Linked DNA regions of Xenopus tropicalis. The protein of the gene in region 2 purifies or fractionates together with the protein of the main gene of each other region. This does not show direct contact. Links are inferred from orthologs where the notes say so. Each region holds a gene or a part of one and is shown on either strand. Other genes may lie near its edges. The genes, in order: hsp90ab1, fgfr1, cdc37 and rps6ka3.

The links.
Region 1: the proteins of fgfr1 (region 2) and hsp90ab1 purify together in Homo sapiens (affinity purification with mass spectrometry; 3 studies listed by BioGRID and IntAct, with this or other methods). This does not show direct contact. The link is inferred for Xenopus tropicalis from reciprocal best matches to the Homo sapiens genes FGFR1 and HSP90AB1.
Region 3: the proteins of fgfr1 (region 2) and cdc37 purify together in Homo sapiens (affinity purification with mass spectrometry; 3 studies listed by BioGRID and IntAct, with this or other methods). This does not show direct contact. The link is inferred for Xenopus tropicalis from reciprocal best matches to the Homo sapiens genes FGFR1 and CDC37.
Region 4: the proteins of fgfr1 (region 2) and rps6ka3 purify together in Homo sapiens (affinity purification with mass spectrometry; 4 studies listed by BioGRID and IntAct, with this or other methods). This does not show direct contact. The link is inferred for Xenopus tropicalis from reciprocal best matches to the Homo sapiens genes FGFR1 and RPS6KA3.

What each region holds. Positions count from the first base shown.
Region 1 is NC_030681.2:2,234,758-2,239,857, forward strand, and holds the start of hsp90ab1 (heat shock protein HSP 90-beta), read right to left. Parts: upstream 3,198-5,100; 5' UTR 3,152-3,197; intron 1,957-3,151; coding exon 1,810-1,956; intron 1,520-1,809; coding exon 1,313-1,519; intron 1,192-1,312; coding exon 1,032-1,191; intron 948-1,031; coding exon 814-947; intron 738-813; coding exon 432-737; intron 334-431; coding exon 168-333; intron 1-167. UniProt on the Homo sapiens protein: Molecular chaperone that promotes the maturation, structural maintenance and proper regulation of specific target proteins involved for instance in cell cycle control and signal transduction. Undergoes a functional cycle linked to its ATPase activity.
Region 2 is NC_030679.2:130,983,659-130,988,046, reverse strand, and holds part of fgfr1 (fibroblast growth factor receptor 1 precursor), read right to left. Parts: intron 4,295-4,388; coding exon 4,149-4,294; intron 4,068-4,148; coding exon 3,946-4,067; intron 3,647-3,945; coding exon 3,536-3,646; intron 2,738-3,535; coding exon 2,547-2,737; intron 2,368-2,546; coding exon 2,245-2,367; intron 1,632-2,244; coding exon 1,561-1,631; intron 535-1,560; coding exon 397-534; intron 268-396; coding exon 162-267; intron 42-161; coding exon 1-41. UniProt on the Homo sapiens protein: Tyrosine-protein kinase that acts as a cell-surface receptor for fibroblast growth factors and plays an essential role in the regulation of embryonic development, cell proliferation, differentiation and migration.
Region 3 is NC_030679.2:137,666,515-137,671,565, reverse strand, and holds the start of cdc37 (hsp90 co-chaperone Cdc37), read left to right. Parts: upstream 1-1,634; 5' UTR 1,635-1,656; intron 1,657-4,035; 5' UTR 4,036-4,068; coding exon 4,069-4,170; intron 4,171-5,051. UniProt on the Homo sapiens protein: Co-chaperone that binds to numerous kinases and promotes their interaction with the Hsp90 complex, resulting in stabilization and promotion of their activity. Inhibits HSP90AA1 ATPase activity.
Region 4 is NC_030678.2:43,800,577-43,804,964, reverse strand, and holds part of rps6ka3 (ribosomal protein S6 kinase alpha-3), read left to right. Parts: coding exon 1-5; intron 6-2,563; coding exon 2,564-2,652; intron 2,653-2,779; coding exon 2,780-2,844; intron 2,845-2,937; coding exon 2,938-3,040; intron 3,041-4,178; coding exon 4,179-4,303; intron 4,304-4,388. UniProt on the Homo sapiens protein: Serine/threonine-protein kinase that acts downstream of ERK (MAPK1/ERK2 and MAPK3/ERK1) signaling and mediates mitogenic and stress-induced activation of the transcription factors CREB1, ETV1/ER81 and NR4A1/NUR77, regulates translation through RPS6 and EIF4B phosphorylation, and mediates cellular proliferation, survival, and differentiation by modulating mTOR signaling and repressing pro-apoptotic function of BAD and DAPK1.

The DNA.
Region 1 (5,100 bases), on a different chromosome or scaffold from region 2:
GTGCGTGGGGCCCTGCCTGCCTGTGTCACCACATCAAGCAAAAGATCTACATGCTAGACTGTTAATGAAGCATCTAATGCCAGACTATTGGAAGGCTTTACCCAGCATCCCATCCTATGGGGGGGGGGGGAAGGAGGGGGCCCACTAAGCTTCGGGCCAGTACTTACTCAGATACTCTGGGATCAGCTCGTCGCAGCTATCCATGATGAAGACGCGGCGCACGTACAGCTTGATGTTGTTCTTCTTCTTCTTGTTCTCAAACAGATCAAAGGGGGCGCGGCGGGGAATGAAGAGCAGAGCGCGGAACTCCAGTTGCCCCTCCACAGAGAAGTGCTGGGGGGAAGCAGAACAGGGGGTGTTAGCGCTCAGGAGAGAGTGTGGAACCCAGAGCTGAACAAGCGGTGCATTATGGGGTTTTTTTTTCTTCTTACCTTCACAGCCAAGTGATCCTCCCAGTCATTGGTCAGGCTCTTGTAGAACTCTCCGTACTCTTCCTGGGTGATGTCGTCTGGGTTACGGGTCCAGATGGGCTTGGTTTTGTTCAGCTCCTCCTGGTCGATGTACTTCTCCTTGATCTTCTTTGTCTTTTTCTTCTTGTCCTTCCCCTCCTCTTCCTCATCGGAGCCCACGTCCTCTATTTTAGGTTTGTCGTTCTCTCCCTCCTCTTCCTTCTTTTCTTCCTCTTTCTCCTCCTCTGCCTCATCGTCGCTGATCTCCTTTTCCCTCTCCTTCTCCAGCTGTCGGGGAGACAAATAGTGAGCCAATCGTACATCAGACCCAGGGCCCTGCCCCCAGCTGGCCGGCCATACTCACATAGAGGGTGATTGGGTAGCCAATGAACTGCGAGTGTTTCTTCACGGTTTCCTTGACACGTTTCTCCTCCAGGTACTCTGTCTGATCTTCCTTCAGGTAGAGGATGACTTTGGTACCACGGCCAATGGGCTCACCTAGCAGGAAATACCAGTTTGGGGTTAGTGGTGCCAACTTACAGGCCTTTAGGGGAATTCTGGTCCAATTGAACACAAACTCACCATGGTCAGTCTTCACGGTGAAAGAGCCGCCGGCGGAGGATTCCCACGCGTACTGTTCATCATCGTTGTGTTTGGTGATGACCAAGACCTTCTCTGCCACCAAGTACGCAGAATAGAAACCCACACCGAACTGACCAATCATAGAGATGTCAGCACCAGCCTGTCAGAGAGAAGGAACCACAACTCAATTGGACTTCAGGGAGACACCACTGGCTAGTGGACGGTACTTAATGCGCCAGCATTTAATAGTCAATGCTTTATATTGGGCCGCTGGTACCGACCTGCAGGGCCTCCATGAAAGCCTTGGTGCCGGACTTGGCGATGGTTCCCAGGTTGTTGATGAGGTCGGCCTTGGTCATGCCAATCCCGGTGTCGATGACAGTCAGTGTGCGCTCCTGGCGGTTGGGAATGATGTCGATCTTCAGGTCTTTGCCGCTGTCCAGCTTGGAGGGATCGGTCAGACTCTCGTATCGGATCTTATCCAGGGCCTGCGGCACCGAACAATGGGGAGAAGGTTGAGGATTGGCAGAGAGTGGCTACTAGCCCAGAGGGCCCCCCCCCCCTCATTATAACAGTCCCCCCAGACCCCTATGCAACAGGCAGTGAAGCTGCCACAATACCTACTAATATAACAGCTTGGCTGCAGAGCACACACACCATTCTATCACTAGCTGAGCCAAGAGGCCAGCTCTGCTTTAGTTCAGATACCCCCTCCCCCCACATATGGGTGCTTGGGCACTGGCACAGTTGGCACATAGGCAGCCAAGGACAGACTTACGTCGGAGGCGTTGGAGATCAACTCTCGCAGGAAGATTTCTTTGTTGGAGTAGAAGGTGTTGATGATGAGGGACATGAGCTGCGCAATCTCCGCCTGGAAGGCAAATGTCTCCACCTCCTCCTCTCCATTGTGAGCGACTTCAGGCATCTGTGTAAGGGAACGAGAGTCAGCTGGGTCTTAGGCAGGACTATTGCCCCGTGCAACACCAGGGGCCGTATAACTGCCCCCTCCTATGCAACATTCTACTTCCTGCTCTTATGAGCAGAATGGAAACAAAGCAGCAGCCTCTGTATAACACTCACACCCTGCCATTGGGGAAAGGGAGGGGTTTGTTTATATAGAGGCTTCACAGCAGCCATGTAAGGGACTTTTACTTTCAGTTCCACCCTGGTTAGAGAAATATATTTATATTAAATAAGTCCTATTATCTCCTTACAGCAACAGGCAGATCTCTGTGCAGAACTTGCTCTACTCATTGAGCTCACACTGAGTAACTGGGGGTACTGGCCCTTTAAGACCCTGTGAGAAGCTTTTAAATCCCCCCTCCCCCGATTTTGGGCTGAAAGACATTTGCGACCTGTCCCGCTGGGTGTGGGGCAACAGGAGCCCCGGGTGTGGGGGGCAACAGGAGCCCCGGGTGTGGGGGGCAACAGGAGCCCCGGGTGTGGGGCAGCTGTCAGTGTTATTCGTTCCCCCCCCCCCAGCAGAGGGAACACATGGACCAGCCCATACGGCGCAAGCAGCAGCGGGACAGACCATGACCGGGCGCAGGGGGAGCCGTTACCATGGATACACGGCCCGGCCCCGGCTGTGACGCGCTTCATCCCAACATGGCGGCGCTACCGGCTCCCTAACCATGTGCGCCCCCACCCGCGGGGGGGGGTAGAAAGATCTAGAAGGTTCCAGGGCCGGGGGGCGGGGCCGGGACTGACAGTTAGGGAAACCCCGGGAATAATACACAGAATGAACCTTTCCCGTAGAGAATTACAGGGGCCCCGAATTCGCCTCAACGATAATGTCCCCTCTCCCCCATCTAACTGCCCCTCTCCCCCATCTAACTGCCCCTCTCCCCCATCTAACTGCCCCTCTCCCCCATCTAACTGCCCCTCTCCCCGCTACTATGGCTCCTGCCTCAGTTTCTCCAGCCATTGCCCCACTCGGACTCCCAAGTGCCAATACCCAGCCCGCTGCCCCCCAGCAGCCCCTCACTATCCCCCCAGCAGCCCCTCACAATGCCCCCCCCAGCAGCCCCTCACAATGCCCCCCCCAGCAGCCCCTCACAATGCCCCCAGCAGCCCCACACAATGCCCCCAGCAGCCCCACACAATGCCCCCCCGGGTACCTTGGCTGCTTAAGGATCTCCGCGGCCGAACACTGCTGGGGAATTGGTGAATGAAGAGGAAAGAAACAAGCAGCCGGGCACCTTTTATACTGGGCGGAGAGCAGCCCCAGATCCCTCCGCCTGCACCAGTGCCGGCACTATTTGCAGCTAGGGCTGAGTACGCGGAGCCGCAGTGAGAGAGAGTGCGGGCAGTAGCTCCGTGGGACCAGGGCTTCCCAGTACGGATCTGGGATTTCGCCTTTCAGCCCAGCTGCAATAATCAAACTACCGAGTGCGTCTCTCCTCAGGGAACTGAGCATGCGCAACTCTGTGTTACTCAGCACTCACTCACAGCGCCCCCTCTGGCCGGCCCGGGAGGTTCCCTCCTTATAGCAAATGCTGCTGGGACTATTTTTTTTCCTTGGCGGGAGGATACCAAGCGGAGGAGGTAGTGTAATTTTCTAGTAGTTTCTCTAGTGACTCCGCCTTTTGTCCCTCCCCTGCCTCTCCCCTGCCCCGCCCCTTCTTCCTTGTCTGTGAGGCAAATGAACCCTTCAGCCCCGCTGCCGCCATCTGCTGCTTTGTCATTCCGCTCGCCCTCTGTTGTTTGTGGGAGGGGCCAGGCTAGTGGGAGGGGCAAGGCTCCTGTTACGTCACTAACTGCAGGGACAAATGGCTGCTGAGTCACATGGGAAGATAAAGGGTTTATTTGGTTGTTTTATTTCTGTAGCCCTGGTATTCTGTCCCATCAGCCCCTGCCCCAGTGAGCTTACACTCTAATGTCCCTATCCCATTCCCATCAGCCCCTGCCCCAGTGAGCTTACACTCTAATGTCCCTATCCCATTCCCATCAGTCCCTGCCCCAGTGAGCTTACAATCTAAGGCCCTATCCCGATTCCATCAGTCCCTGCCCCAGTGAGCTTACAATCTAAGGTCCCTATCCCATTCCCATCAGCCCCTGCCCCAGTGAGCTAAACAATCTAAGGTCCCTATCCATTCCCATCAGCCCCTGCCCCAGTGAGCTTACAATCTAAGGCCCCTATCCATTCCATCAGTCCCTGCCCAGTGAGCTTACAATCTAAGGTCCTATCCCCATTCCCATCAGCCCCTGCCCCAGTGAGCTTACAATCTAAGGTCCCTATCCCATTCCCATCAGCCCCTGCCCCAGTGAGCTACAATCTAAGGTCCCCTATCACATTCCCATCAGCCCCTGCCCAGTGAGCTTACAATCTAATGGTCCCTATTCCCATTCCCATCAGCCCCTGCCCCCAGTGAGCTTACAATCTAAGGTCCCTATCACATTCCCTATCAGCCCCTGCCCAGTGAGCTTACAATCTAAGTCCCATCCCATTCCCATCAGCCCCTGCCCCAGGAGCTTACACCTCTAAGTCCCTTCCCATCAGCCCCTGCCCAGTGAGCTTACAATCTAAAGGTCCCTATCCCATTCCATCAGTCCCTGCCCAGTGAGCTTACAATCTAAGGTCCCTATCACATTCCCATCAGCCCTGCCCCAGTGAGCTTACAATCTAAGGTCCCTATCCATTCCCATCAGCCCTGCCCCAGTGAGCTTACAATCTAAGGTCCCTATCACATTCCCATCAGCCCCTGCCCCAGTGAGCTACAATCTAAGGTCCCTATCACATTCCCATCACCCCTGCCCCAGTGAGCTTACAATCTAAGTCCCTATCACATCCCATCAGCCCCTGCCCCAGTGACTTACAATCTAAGGGCCCCTATCCATCCCATCAGTCCCTTGCCCCAGTGAGCTTACAATCTAAGGTCCCTATCCCATTCCCATCAGCCCCTGCCCCGTGAGCTTACAATCTAAGGTCCCTATCCCATTCCCATCAGTCCCTGCCCCAGTGAGCTTACAATCTAAGGTCCCTATCACATTCCCATCAGTCCCTGCCCCAGTGAGTTTACAATCTAAGGTCCCTATCCCATTCCCATCAGTCCCTGCCCCAGTGAGC
Region 2 (4,388 bases):
GGAGAATACTGATTCACTGGCATGGAAAGATCGAGATACTCCTGCAGAGAGGGAAAGAGAAAACGATGGAACGTTACCAATGCGGAACAGTGACTATAACACATTCAGGCACAATACAGTGAAACCAGGACTATATACAGTAGAATTCATTAAAAACGTACCTGATTGGAACTCAGAGCAAGAATTCGGTCAAGATCTTCAACCAGCTGATTGAATGTTGGTCTTTGAGAAGGCATGGCATGCCAGCAGTCCTTCATCATCATATACCTACAGAAACAGAGCTTACATTAAATTCACTAGCCCCCGAGGCAACGTGTTTATGGACATGATAAGGAGACACAAGCAGTGGTTGTTAAGCTACAAGTTAAAAAAGCATAGACGCACATAGATACTTACAACTCATTGGTGCAGGTAGTGGGTTTATCCATTCTGTGCCCTTCCTTAAGTAACTTAAAGAGCTCTTCCATGGGGACACCAGGATACGGGGAGCCCCCGAGCGTGAAAATCTCCCACAGCAGCACACCGAACGACCAGCTGAAATACAGCAGGAAGAGGTTAAGAGTGCACAACTGCAGTCATCCTACAAAAACCGCTGAGCCCAACAGATGTTGCATTAGAGATCAGTAACCTTCATGACTCCATGCTTTTATATGGCAAAGGAAATCCTCCTTCCAGGCCCAGACTGGCAATCTGTGGGTTCTGGCAAATGCCACAGGGGCTGCTGTAAGAAGCCATAGACAGTCACTATTTATTGGGCTGGTAGGGGGCTGTTTGGGCCTCTGTGTACTTTAATACTTTAAATGCCAGGGCCTAATTTGAATCTATTGGAGGAGACCTGCCTCCTTCAACAGCCTTAAAACATGACATTAGGGAATACATTAGCCTCTATTATACAAACAAAATCCATCTTTTTTTTCTAGTTACTACTGTCTAGTACAGGGCAGTCCAACGGGGAGCTTGTGAGCCAGGTGTAGCCCACATATTGCTCAGGAGCTACGCTGGACCCCTTTGGATGACATATAGTTACATAGTTACATAAGGTTGAGTCCATCAAGTTCAACCCATCAATGTTTTATTGTTATCTGGCCCCAAACAGAGAATAATTGGCCCAGTATATTGGCTTCAATAAATGGGGGTGTATAAAACATTTTATAAAGGTTTCTGCATCTATTTATGAGGTAACCCCCATGGATGACTTGAAATGCAAAAAACTCTAAGCTGAATGCACACCCACTGATATTTTGCATTTTTCAATAACCAACAAAAATGATCCGTTTTGGCCAATCCATCTGTATTGTGAGTGTCCTAACAGTGGTGTAACTAAGGAAGCAGACCCCATGGTTGCACGGGAACCCAGACTGCGGGGACTGCTTCCTCTATAGTTGCATAAAAATCCCACCTGAGAGCAGGCAGGGGAGTGGGGATTCATACACGTGTGGGAGGGGGACAGGTAGGGTTTGCTACTCGGCACCAGGCTACAGGGTCTGGAGGGCCCAGTGCAGAGTAGTTACATCATTGTGCCCTACGTTCAATAAAAAGCTCACATTTAATGATACTCACACATCACTCTGATGAGTGTAAATCCGGTCAAAAAGGGCTTCTGGGGCCATCCATTTTACAGGCAGCCGTCCCTAAAAGAAAATTCCATGTCTTAATATCAGCATTCCAGTAAGATCAAGATAGTTTCCTTAATGACAAGCCTGGCTTAGGTAGGCAGCATTGTGGGGACCTTGCAAAAACTATTTTGGTGGCTTTGACAGTGTAGGGAAATTGCCACAGGATATTTAGCTTTCCTAGTGACACTCAACCAGTGGAAATAGAAGTGAAGTCACGTTCCTCGCGTGTTCATGGCCCTAAATTTTCTATTATTTGGCTCCTACAACCTATCTTTCCCTGCTGCAAACAACTTAGTCTCAGTACAAGTAACTGGCTGATAACGGCTAGTCACTGAGTCAGACTCCGTGACACACTCCCCCCGTCATAATGCACAAAAGTTTTAGTTGCCGTTATCGAGTAGCAATTATTACACACAATAGAGGTCACTTATGGTGACTGGTGGAAAAAGGGGTGCAAGAGCACATCTCTTAGTATTTACTCATTCAGCCAGCGCACCCCCCCCCCATACAAAAATCTGCACCTCCTACAAACGGGAGACCCCAGCCATTTCCAAGGAAGGTGAAAAATGAATTTTATTGTGCCGCATACCTGCGCTAGGTAGGAATGGGATGTCTGTAAAGTACTCACGTTTGTGGTCTTCTTGTAATAGTCAATGTGATGGATATCACGGGCTAAGCCGAAGTCGGCAATCTTCATCACATTGTCCTCTGTTACCAAGACATTCCTTGCAGCCAGGTCTCGGTGGATACACTGTGGGGGACAACCATGCAGAGCTATTAATTTCACGACTAAACTATATGGGTCATAAAACTGAACTATTTGTTGAAATGCTAAAAACTACAATCAGTGCAGGAATATATTTTTGAATATAATATCACTGTAATTTTCCTCTTAGGTCTTCGAAGTAAAGGCAACAGGTTGCTACCAACCTTTTTAGAGGCAAGGTACTCCATCCCACGCGCCACCTGGTAAGCACACGACACCAGATCCTTGAAGGAGAGCAGCTGATCGGGGGCACAGGTAGGGTTGTAGCAGTACTCCATGCCCGGGGGGCGCCTGGCTCGCAAGTACTCTCTAAGGTTCCCCTTGGAAGCATATTCCACAATTACATAGAGTGGACCTGAAGGGAAGAGATGGTAATCAGTGCTAATGTAAAGATATCTCCTCTGCAGCAATATCTACAGGTATAATTCCTAGTGATCCAGCCAAGCATTGATATGTCGGGTATATGTCCTCTTAATGGAAGATAACATTTCTTGGTATAGGATAGTTTGCCCAGGAAGCTATATTTACCTATGTAATATGTTTATTCTTATAAAAAGGCAGCTGTCATATTGGTAAGTATGCATTTCATTACATCCATAAACTCATATGGATAATAATATAAACAACTCATAATATAAAACAGCGGCCTCTGGTGGTCAGTCATGAAAATCATAGATTTTGTAAATGGCTTTACGCTAACAAAATATTTGCTGTTCGCTAAAACCACTAGTTGTCAGTCTCTTAGTAGTGACTGGCAGAGAGCCACTAATTCAGGGACAGCAAACCTAAACATAACTCTTAGTACGTTATCTTTAAACCAGCATATGTAGTTCAGCATACAGCTACTGTAATGGATAACTAAGCCCTAACTAACTAACTAACTAACTGCAACCTGGTAGGGGGTGGTGCTCTGGGAACAGCTACTGTAATAAATAACCAAGTACCTGCTGATTGGAGGAGGAGATCCTCCAATCAATAGACCATCACTAACAGTTTTTCTAAACACGAACAAAATGGCGGCAGCATAGCAGGTGTTATTGTGGTTCTTACATAGGAGAAGGTAGTGGAAGGGAAAGGAGGATGGGTATGCACGAAAAGGAGGGGTTCAGGTCAAAACATTATAATACATGTTATTCAGTTTGAAGGAACTCACCATCTTGGGTGCAGGCACCAAGTAAATTGATGATATTTTTGTGTTTTCCAATCATTTTCATCATTTCCATCTCGGAAATCAGATCAGACAGGTCCTTTTCACTTGCATCAGCTAAACGGAGATAAATATTCACATTATGGAACAATAAACTATACTTATCTTATAAATTCATGATCACAGTCTCTATTATCCAACCCATATGACCCAGTTGGCGTTTATTGGCTTCTCCTTGTCAAGACTAGTATTACTGTATCCAAGCAAAATGGCAGCCTACTTTAGCTAGGAATGAGAAGCCTTCAATGTGATTGGCTGTCAGATAGTACATTGGCAAAGCCCACCTCAAAACCTTTCATAAAGTATAGTAAATGAAATGAATTAGCATAGGGTCAGTTTCTATAAAGGCAACTCACACTTTAACATCTTCACGGCAACTTTTGTCACTTTGTTAGGCTTCTCCTTATCCAGGCCGATAGCCTCTGCCATTACTACTTGCCCAAAGCAGCCTTCTCCGAGAGGTTTCCCAAGGATCAACCTATGAAATAGCACGATTTTGTTTAGGATTTGCATTGGTAAAGATTGATTTTACTTGCGAAATTGTGTGCAAGTTCCTCACCTGTCTCTTGCCACTTCCCAACGTGGATCTTCCGGAAGCTCGTATTCCGAGACTCCAGACAACATAGGCGTCCCACTGGATGAGAGGCGTGAGGGTCTGACCAATATCACTCCAGAGTGCATTGATGAGTTGGAGTCCCCTGAAACCTGTTCCAAAAGTAAGAGTTGGGTTACCATAAGAACACAGACGCAGAGCAGCTTAGTCTTTAATGCTTTGAGATGATGAAGTAACAGTAGCCAC
Region 3 (5,051 bases), about 6.7 Mb from region 2:
AAATGGAGCCTCTGTCTATACTGCCCAACTGCATGCTGGGTATTGATTGTAGTTTTATATTAATCCTAGCTGTAGGCTAATTGTTAGATACAAACTACATTACCCAGCATGCAGTGGGACAGCCACACTAGAGGGAAAAACTTTGGCTAGTTTCCAAACTACAAACCCGCCAAGGCGCTAAAAAATAGCCCAAATCTGTACCTTGGCTGTACATTGGAACCCCACCTGGGCTTTAAACTAGTAGAAGAGTTATTATAAAATTATGCTTTTTTACACTTTGAAATGGCTTTTACAGATTGTTTAAAGGTTAAATATGCTAATTGCACAATTGTGTGTGCTAATGAAGTGTGAGACTATTTAATCAAGTTCAATGCACTTGTTTTTATGCCTGAAGAAGGCTAATTTGGTCATTTGGCCCTGGGGCCAAACTACGGAATTATAATGACGGGTATAGGCAAGTCATTTTGGGGACTGCATCAACGAGCCGATGCGGTCCCAGATCCGTCAAAATTTTTTAACCTGCCCGATTTCAGGCCAGATGTCGGTCATGCAGGCCCGTCGTTCGTGCCCCTACACGGGCCAATAAGCTGCCGAATCGGTCAAAAGGTGCCCATACACGGGCCGATTGTAGCTGCCAATATCGGTCCCTTGGACTGTTTCGGAAGCTTATTGGCCCGTGTAGGGGCAGGAACGAGGAGCACGCCCGACCGATATCTAGACTCACATTGGCCACATATTGATCGGGCAGGTTAAAAGATTTAGTTGGATCGGGGAACGCATCGGCTCGTTGATGCAGTCCCCGAACCAACTGCCCCATTGCCATTATAATTCGATTGGCCCCAGGGCCAAACGATCAAATTTGCCTACATGTTCCCCGATATCACCCACCCGTAGGATCTTCACGTGTATGGACACCTTAAGGGACCGATATCGGCCGCTAAAATCGGCACGTGTATGGCCACCTTAAAGCACAGATCTGCTTGCCTGGCAATTAGGCACATTTGGTAACTGACCCTCAACCAATACCTAATGGAAACCAATTATATATTGCTTCAAAGTGATTTATATTTACAATTGTAACGACAAGCAGTATTTGTATATCCCTTTCTGTTCTCTGGTTTTGCTACATTGTTTCAGGAGTCAGAACCAGCAGCGCAAACAACAGTAACAGCCAGGCAGACGCTGCTTTGAACAAAAATCACAAAATATCAAAATGATTTATTTTTCTTTTTAATGTATGTATACCAGAAAGCTGCCTAGAATTAAGTTAAAATAAAACAGATTCCGGATGGTGTTCCCCTTTCACAATATAAGCAGTTGTTTCATGTTTTCCTCCCCCTTGGGCCGCCTATAATGTTGATTGTGGAAAAACCCTTCGCATACCATCCTATAAAGCCGTTTCTATCTCCAATTCCCCTCCACAAACCACTCCCTACGGCAGCAAGAACAAACCTGCCTGTCTAGCAAAGGCGGAAGTGACGCAAGGAGAATGGAATAGGCAAAAAAGGAAGTCGGCCCGAAGACTCTAGCGTAAGGGCAAATCAGCCGCGTCGAGGTTAAGGAAGTGATGTCATGGAGTGGGCAGGCTGAGGCAGAGAGTGCAGGAGCTTTCCAGAAGCTTGCGAGGGGGCCTGCAGCTGCACCCTGGTGTGCCAGGTAATGGCTTCTTCCCACAGCTGGCTATTTCTCTTATACCTGCCTGCGGTGCTGCTATATCCTATTTACCTATACGGACAGGCTGTTTGGGCAACAGTTTAAGGCATTAAGCAATACTCCCTGGTATAGTGAGCGCTGTTCTTGCCCGGGTAGCTGTACTACAACTCTCACAATTATTGAACATATACTCCAGACTTAAAGTATACTGGGAGTTGTAGTCTAACAATATCTGGGAGCCAGGCTTTATCATCATTAATGGCTGGGGCACAGTATATTATTTTCATCTACCCCCCCCCCCCCCATATCCCTGCCATGTTTCTGATTCTAGTCCCTGACATGTGGCAAGTAAAGCAGGAGTTGGGGGGTCGCACTGTCACATCTGGGGGGGGGGGGGGGTAACCATCAAATATTACATTACTGTTGTTTTTTTGATTTGCCAGGAAGGATGTAGAGACAAAATTATACCAGGAAATTTACTCACCATAACAGAAAAGTAACTTTATATATCCCCCAGTTAGGGGGGGATTTGGGGTGAGTGCTTATTTGTGCCCTGGGTACCCCTGGAACTATAGCAGGGTGACTGTTACCCCAATGTTTCTATATATCTGTAACCTTGTTATGGGCTAAGGGGGCCCAGCCTGAAGGCCAGTTAGGGGGGGATTTGGGGTGAGTGCTTATTTGTGCCCTGGGTACCCCTGGAACTATAGCAGGGTGACTGTTACCCAATGTTTCTATATATCTGTAACCTTGTTATGGGCTAAGGGGGCCCAGCCTGAAGGCCAGTTAGGGGGGATTTGGGGTGAGTGCTTATTTGTGCCCTGGGTACCCCTGGAACTATAGCAGGGTGACTGTTACCCCAATGTTTCTATATATCTGTAACCTTGTTATGGGCTAAGGGGGCCCAGCCTGAAGGCCAGTTAGGGGGGGATTTGGGGTGAGTGCTTATTTGTGCCCTGGGTACCCCTGGAACTATAGTGGGGTGACTGTTACCCCAATATTTCTATATATCTGTAACCTTGTTATGGGCTAAGGGGGCCCAGCCTGAAGGCCAGTTAGGGGGGGATTTGGGGTGAGTGCTTATTTGTGCCCTGGGTACCCCTGGAACTATAGCAGGGTGACTGTTACCCCAATGTTTCTATATATCTGTAACCTTGTTATGGGCTAAGGGGGCCCAGCCTGAAGGCCAGTTAGGGGGGGATTTGGGGTGAGTGCTTATTTGTGCCCTGGGTACCCCTGGAACTATAGCAGGGTGACTGTTACCCCAATGTTTCTATATATCTGTAACCTTGTTATGGGCTAAGGGGGCCCAGCCTGAAGGCCAGTTAGGGGGGGATTTGGGGTGAGTGCTTATTTGTGCCCTGGGTACCCCTGGAACTATAGCAGGGTGACTGTTACCCCAATGTTTCTATATATCTGTAACCTTGTTATGGCTAAGGGGGCCCAGCCTGAAGGCCAGTTAGGGGGGGATTTGGGTGAGTGCTTATTTGTGCCCTGGGTACCCCTGGAACTATAGCGGGGTGACTGTTACCCCAATGTTTCTATATATCTGTAACCTTGTTATGGGCTAAGGGGGCCCAGCCTGAAGGCCAGTTAGGGGGGGATTTGGGGTGAGTGCTTATTTGTGCCCTGGGTACCCCTGGAACTATAGCAGGGTGACTGTTACCCCAATGTTTCTATATATCTGTAGCCTTGTTATGGGCTAAGGGGGCCCAGCCTGAAGGCCAGTTAGGGGGGGGATTTGGGGTGAGTGCTTATTTGTGCCCTGGGTACCCCTGGAACTATAGCAGGGTGACTGTTACCCCAGTGTTTCTATATATCTGTAACCTTGTTATGGGCTAAGGGGGCCCAGCCTGAAGGCCAGTTAGGGGAGATTTGGGGTGAGTGCTTATTTGTGCCCTGGGTACCCCTGGAACTATAGCAGGGTGACTGTTACCCCAATGTTTCTATATATCTGTAACCTTGTTATGAGCTAAGGGGGCCCAGCCTGAAGTCCAGTTAGGGGGAGCTTGAAGACCTCTGTATTAGCTTTTAGTGGGGGAAATTCAACACAGGACAGATAGTCCTTCAATGCATTTTGTAGAGACAAAAAGATTAGAAAGGCTCCATTACCGTTTGGCCCTAGATTCAGTCCTTGATAGTGATGAGGCAGAAGCAGTTATGACAGTAGGTACTAGTAACTGCTGGAATTGCATTGGCTCTGTCGAGGTATTTTGGAGATAATTATGAACACTTAAGACATAAGAGGATCGTGCTTAGGGCCTTATGGATACATCAGGCTTTCTAGACACACAGGAGCTGCTTCTGTAGCAAGTAGTAATATAGACCTTTTATATGTTTGAATTCTTGTAAACAAGTCTTTCTTTATGCCCTTCATTTCAGTGAATCTCTTGTTTGTCTGATCTCTGCTACACAATGGTGGATTATAGCGTGTGGGACCACATTGAAGTTTCTGATGACGAAGATGACACTCATCCCAACATTGACACTGCCAGTCTTTTCCGATGGCGTCACCAGGTAATGCCACATAGGGGGGAAGATTCTCTCTCCTTTCCTCATTGAAAATGTTTTAAAGGAACAGTAACACCAAAAAATGAAAGTGTAAACTAAAATATAATGTGCTGCTGCCCTGCACTGGTAAAAGTTGTGTGTTTACTTCAGAAAGTCTACTATAATTTCTATAAATAAGCTGCTCTGTAGCCATGGAGGCAGCCGTTCAAAGGAGAAAAGGCACAGGCACATAGCAGATAACAGATAAAACACTATTGTATTCTACAGAACTTATCTGTTATCTGCTATGTAACCTGTGTCTTTTCTCCTTTTTTCCAGCTTGAATGGCTGCCCCCATGGCTACACAGCAGCTTATTATATAAATTATTAGGGCTGGGCGATATACCGCTTAATACCGAATACCGGTGTTTTTTTTTTTAAAACTATATTCATTTTTCAGATACCGCAATACCGGGGTGTCAGGGTACTCACCCGTGTGGGCTGGTCTCGCACGCCTCCTTGCGCACGTACATGTCAAAGCGTGCACGTCCGCGACGCGCTGACAGCACCAGTTCTGTGCATGCGTGGGGGGTATTTAAAGCTATCAAACGCCTCCTCCTGTGCTATGTTGTCTGCGGCCTTGCCTGGGAAACTAAGCCTGCCTGATTTACCTTACGACTTTCTGTTGCCGATCCTTCGCTTGCCTGACTCTGATTTTCGATACTGCAGTAATTATTCTCTAATTTATTAGGAAATGGGGTTAACACCTAATCATGCATGGAAAAAAAAAATACCGTCAAATACCGTGACACCGATATAATTTTGAAAAATACCGTGATATAAATTTTTGGTCATACCGCCCAGCTCTATAAATTATAGTAGTGTTACTGTAGCAAACACACCAGTTT
Region 4 (4,388 bases), on a different chromosome or scaffold from region 2:
TTGAAGTGAGTTGCAGTGTTTCAGCTTCATTTAAAGTTTTTTTGTAAGAGGCTACCAGTGGTGTAACTCTATAGGGGCCAGGCCCACAGGCTGCAGGGTGGCCAGTGGGGAATAGAGAGCCCATGACAGGGATGGTTGCAGGTGACCTGCAGTTTTACATGCGGCCTGTGAGGCAAAACTGCAGGTGACCCGTGATTTTGTGTATGTCGTGGGTCACCCATGATTTTATTTTGAGGATGGATAATGTGGGGGTCCGAAAATAACTTTTTTGCAAGGGGTCCTGGGACTGGATGCTACATATCCCAGTTGTTTGTAAGAAATAGTGCTTAGTGTTGCAGTGGTGTGAGTAGAGGTTAAGAAAGAGTCTGTCAGAATTAACCATTAGCACCCATGCTCTTCTGCCCCCTTTCCGTGCAGCCTCTAGGTCTGCTGACATTTTTGTTACATCCCCCATATAGAACCTTTTTGAATTTTTAACTTCTTATACCTGAATTCCCTTTCACCATGCAGATCCAAACAGTGGAGTCAAATTTATGATATGCTGCAACTTTATTCAGACCAAATTTTGGACCAAGATACCAGCTGCTAGAGCTATATGGTTAAGGCAAATGTCTGATGTGACATTTTCCTTGGAGGAGTAAATAAATGCAATGTGGCTGCCTTCAAGGGCAGATTTCTAAACCATGCAAGCATGCATTTTTGGACAGAATGATTTTCAGGTCAGCAGAGAAAACATCACTTGTGACATGAGCTAAGGTCACACGAGGCATAGCCATGACTTTTTCCACAGGCGGTCAATGTGGTCTCCTCTAGCCATGTCTCTGCACTGACAGGTATGGTGTTGGCCTATGCACACACAGTGGTTATTGTCACAAAAATGCAAAAATATGAAAATCCCACATAAATGCGAAATCCGCTCTGTGTATCTGCTAACAGGCTGATGCTGTGCCTGGCAATGCAGAGACACAGCAAAGCGGAAGGAAGCATGTCGGTTCTCTTGGAGAAGGCGAAAGAAACTAAAGCTGCGCCTCATTTGACATTAGTCTTAGGGGGCAGAGAAAACACCATGTGTGGCATTACCCTTGGGGGCTACAAGGGTTTATTAGTTGCTTCTACCCCTTTTATAGCATCTTCATTCCTGGTCATCCATACCTATTTTTTTTCATCTGATTTTGTTATAATTGCCTCTGTCTTTAGGCTCTAGTATAATGCAAACTCTAGTATAATACATTATTCGGTCTTACTTAATGCACAAGAACAGGGAGTTTTGTGAGAATACATCATTTCTTTGGAAAGGGAGAATGTAGGATACAAAACTTGTTTTATGGTGTTTACATCTGGCTATGTTTTCTGCTATGTAACCTGTGCCTTTTTTCCTTGAGTGGCTGCCCCAGTGGCTACACAGCAGCTTTGTTTATATTAACTATAGCAGTCTTTTTGATGCAAATACACAACTTTTACCAGGGCAGGGCAATAGTACATTACATGAATCTATTCATTACTTTGATAAACTTTCCTGAGCTGTTAAATGGGCAGCAGCCAATTACAGCCATACCATAAATCCCTTTATGTCTGCAAGGAATGTATTAGTGTTATGAAAATACTGATAACGCATTAGCTATACTTAAGTGCATTTTTTTCTTAGGGCTCTGGCACACGGGGAGATTAGTCGCCCGCGACAAATCTCCCTGTTCGCGGGCGACTAATCTCCCCGAGTTGCCATCCCACCGGCGAACGTGTAAGTTGCCGGTGGGATGGCACACGCGGCGGTGCGATTTCGGCAAATCGCCGAAAATGCCTCGACCGGCGACTTACATGTTTGGCGGTGGGATGGTAGTTCGGGGAGATTGGTCGCCTGTGACAAGGGAGATTTGTCGCGGGCGAATAATCTCCCCGTGTGCCAGAGCCCTTAAGCTCCTTGTACATAAAAAAAACTACTTATATGGCGAGGATACCTGATTTGGCCAACCATCAGATCGTCACAGGGGCTTATGTCCCAAATGGTAAAGGACTTCATTAATAAACCTCATCTGACTGAATTTTTAAACCTGATAGCTATTGGTTAGGCAGTGTATTGGTTTGCCCTTATACATGAGCCTATAAACTGTCTACTCATTTGGGAGGGGCAAAGTTAGCAGCTGTTTATCTTGTGTATGGCCTTTTAGATTGTCCAATCTGCAGCTGTCCAGATGTTGAAATAGCTTTTTCTGTGGCTGTAGTGAGATTCCAGCAGTTATATTTCAAGAACAATAATTGGACATCCTTGATTATATTGCTTTAAAACATGGAAAAATCAACACACAGTTTTCTGAGAACACCGTTTGAAAATGCAACCTGTGCTTGCAATATATATAATTTATAGGGGTAAATTATTCTTTATAATAAACAAATTTCAAGAGTCACTTTGCACATGACATCAGTACCTATTCTAATGATGTAAATGAGCAGCATTTAAAGGGATATAATTAACAGGTTATTCACATCTCTTTTCTATATTTAATTAAAAATGTTAAATGCTGCCAAATCTATTGAGTTAAACATTCTTCTTTTTGCATATGTTTAGAGCCAAACTTGGGATGCCTCAATTTTTAACTCCAGAAGCTCAGAGTCTCCTCCGCATGCTGTTCAAGAGAAATCCTACCAACAGACTAGGTGAGCTAAATGATTTTAGTGTTACCATTTATTTCAGCTTAATGTATATTTGTATAATGTTATTCTGCTTGCTAAAATCTCAGGACCAAAGAAAAATCCTTAATCGCATTTTTACTATTTTATGAAGGAGCAGGGCCAGATGGGGTTGAAGAGATTAAGAGACATCCATTTTTTGCCACAATTGATTGGAATGTAAGACATTTCCCTCTGCAATGACACATATGATATATCTTTTGTTTTCACCCAAGATTCTAGGGACATTATTTTTGTTTGTATTTTTTTTAGAAACTGTATAGGAGAGAGAACCAGCCACCTTTTAAACCAGCCACTGGTGGACCAGAGGACACATTTTATTTTGATCCCGAGTTCACAGCAAAAACACCAAAAGGTAGGTTATTTTTACCTGTTTCTCATTTACTGTGTGCAACTTAATTAGTAAATGGTGGGTATTCTGATGTGTTATGTCCTATATGTTTGCTGACCCTCAGCGCCGGATTTGTGCGCCCCTAACCCCCCCCCCCCCCCCCCCCCCGTGAGCGCATGCGAGAACGCGGAACCAGGCAGGTGTGACACATGTCATACAGAAATACAGTTGTCGCAGCGGTCTTTTTATATATCTATAATTTTGTTTGGAGGAAATGGGGCCCTGAACAAAAGTTGGGCCTCAGATGCAAGCCTGAACTCAGATGGTTCATAAGTCACTGCCTCAGAGGTATTATTCACCTTGAAAATAACTTTTACTATGATGTAGAGACTTGTATTCCTACACAGACTACAATTTGCCTTCATTTTTTTTATTATTTGTGGTATTTTAATTTTTTTTTTTTTGCTTTTTGTTCAGCAACTCTCCAGTTTGCAATTTCTGCAGTTATCTGGTTACTAGAGTAGGGCTTACCCTAGCTTTATTTCATTTTATCTATGTATTATAATTTTTTAGCAATCAATATATATATATCATATATCATTTTCATTTTTTAGAGTTAGTCTTTCAAACACCGGATCTTATCGATCTCATGGAAACATTATGAAAGCTATTGTTTAAATCTGCTCTCTGTTTGTTACACTATAGGGCTTATTTATCAATTTTAGTGTTTGTTTCTCTAAATGAATAAACTTGCATATCAAATGGTCGCTTATTTATTAATAGGAAAAACTCTGAGCTCTAAAAATTCTTAACGGAAAAGATTTTAAGAATATGGCTTGACTTTGCCTATGACAACTCCCATTGACTTCCATAGAAGCTCCCAAGCTTTTACATGGCAATTTTTTACATTTTTTGCACTTAATAAATACCAGACATTTGAGTGTAGGAACGAAAACTCGAATCCGAGTTTCTTAAGCACAAAAAACTTGAGTTGAGGGAAAAAAACCTTGACTTGATAAATCACCCCTTATGTAAAACAATCCTTTCTAGTTTGTTCATCTTTCCCTGGGTTTATGTAGCTATATTTTACCAAACCTAGTGTCTAGTGTACAGTTATGATCATTTTTACCAAATGTATAATACATTTATTTTTAACACCTAGATTCTCCTGGTATCCCAGCAAGTGCCAATGCACACCAGCTCTTCCGTGGGTTCAGCTTTGTTGCCATTACATCTGAGGATGAAAACCAAGCTATGCAAACGGTTGGGGTTCATGCTATTGTTCCAGTAAGCACATTTTTTCTTTGAAGTGTACATACAGTGCCGCTTTTAATAATTCATTTGTATTTTAAATGCTAATTTATAGTTGTAT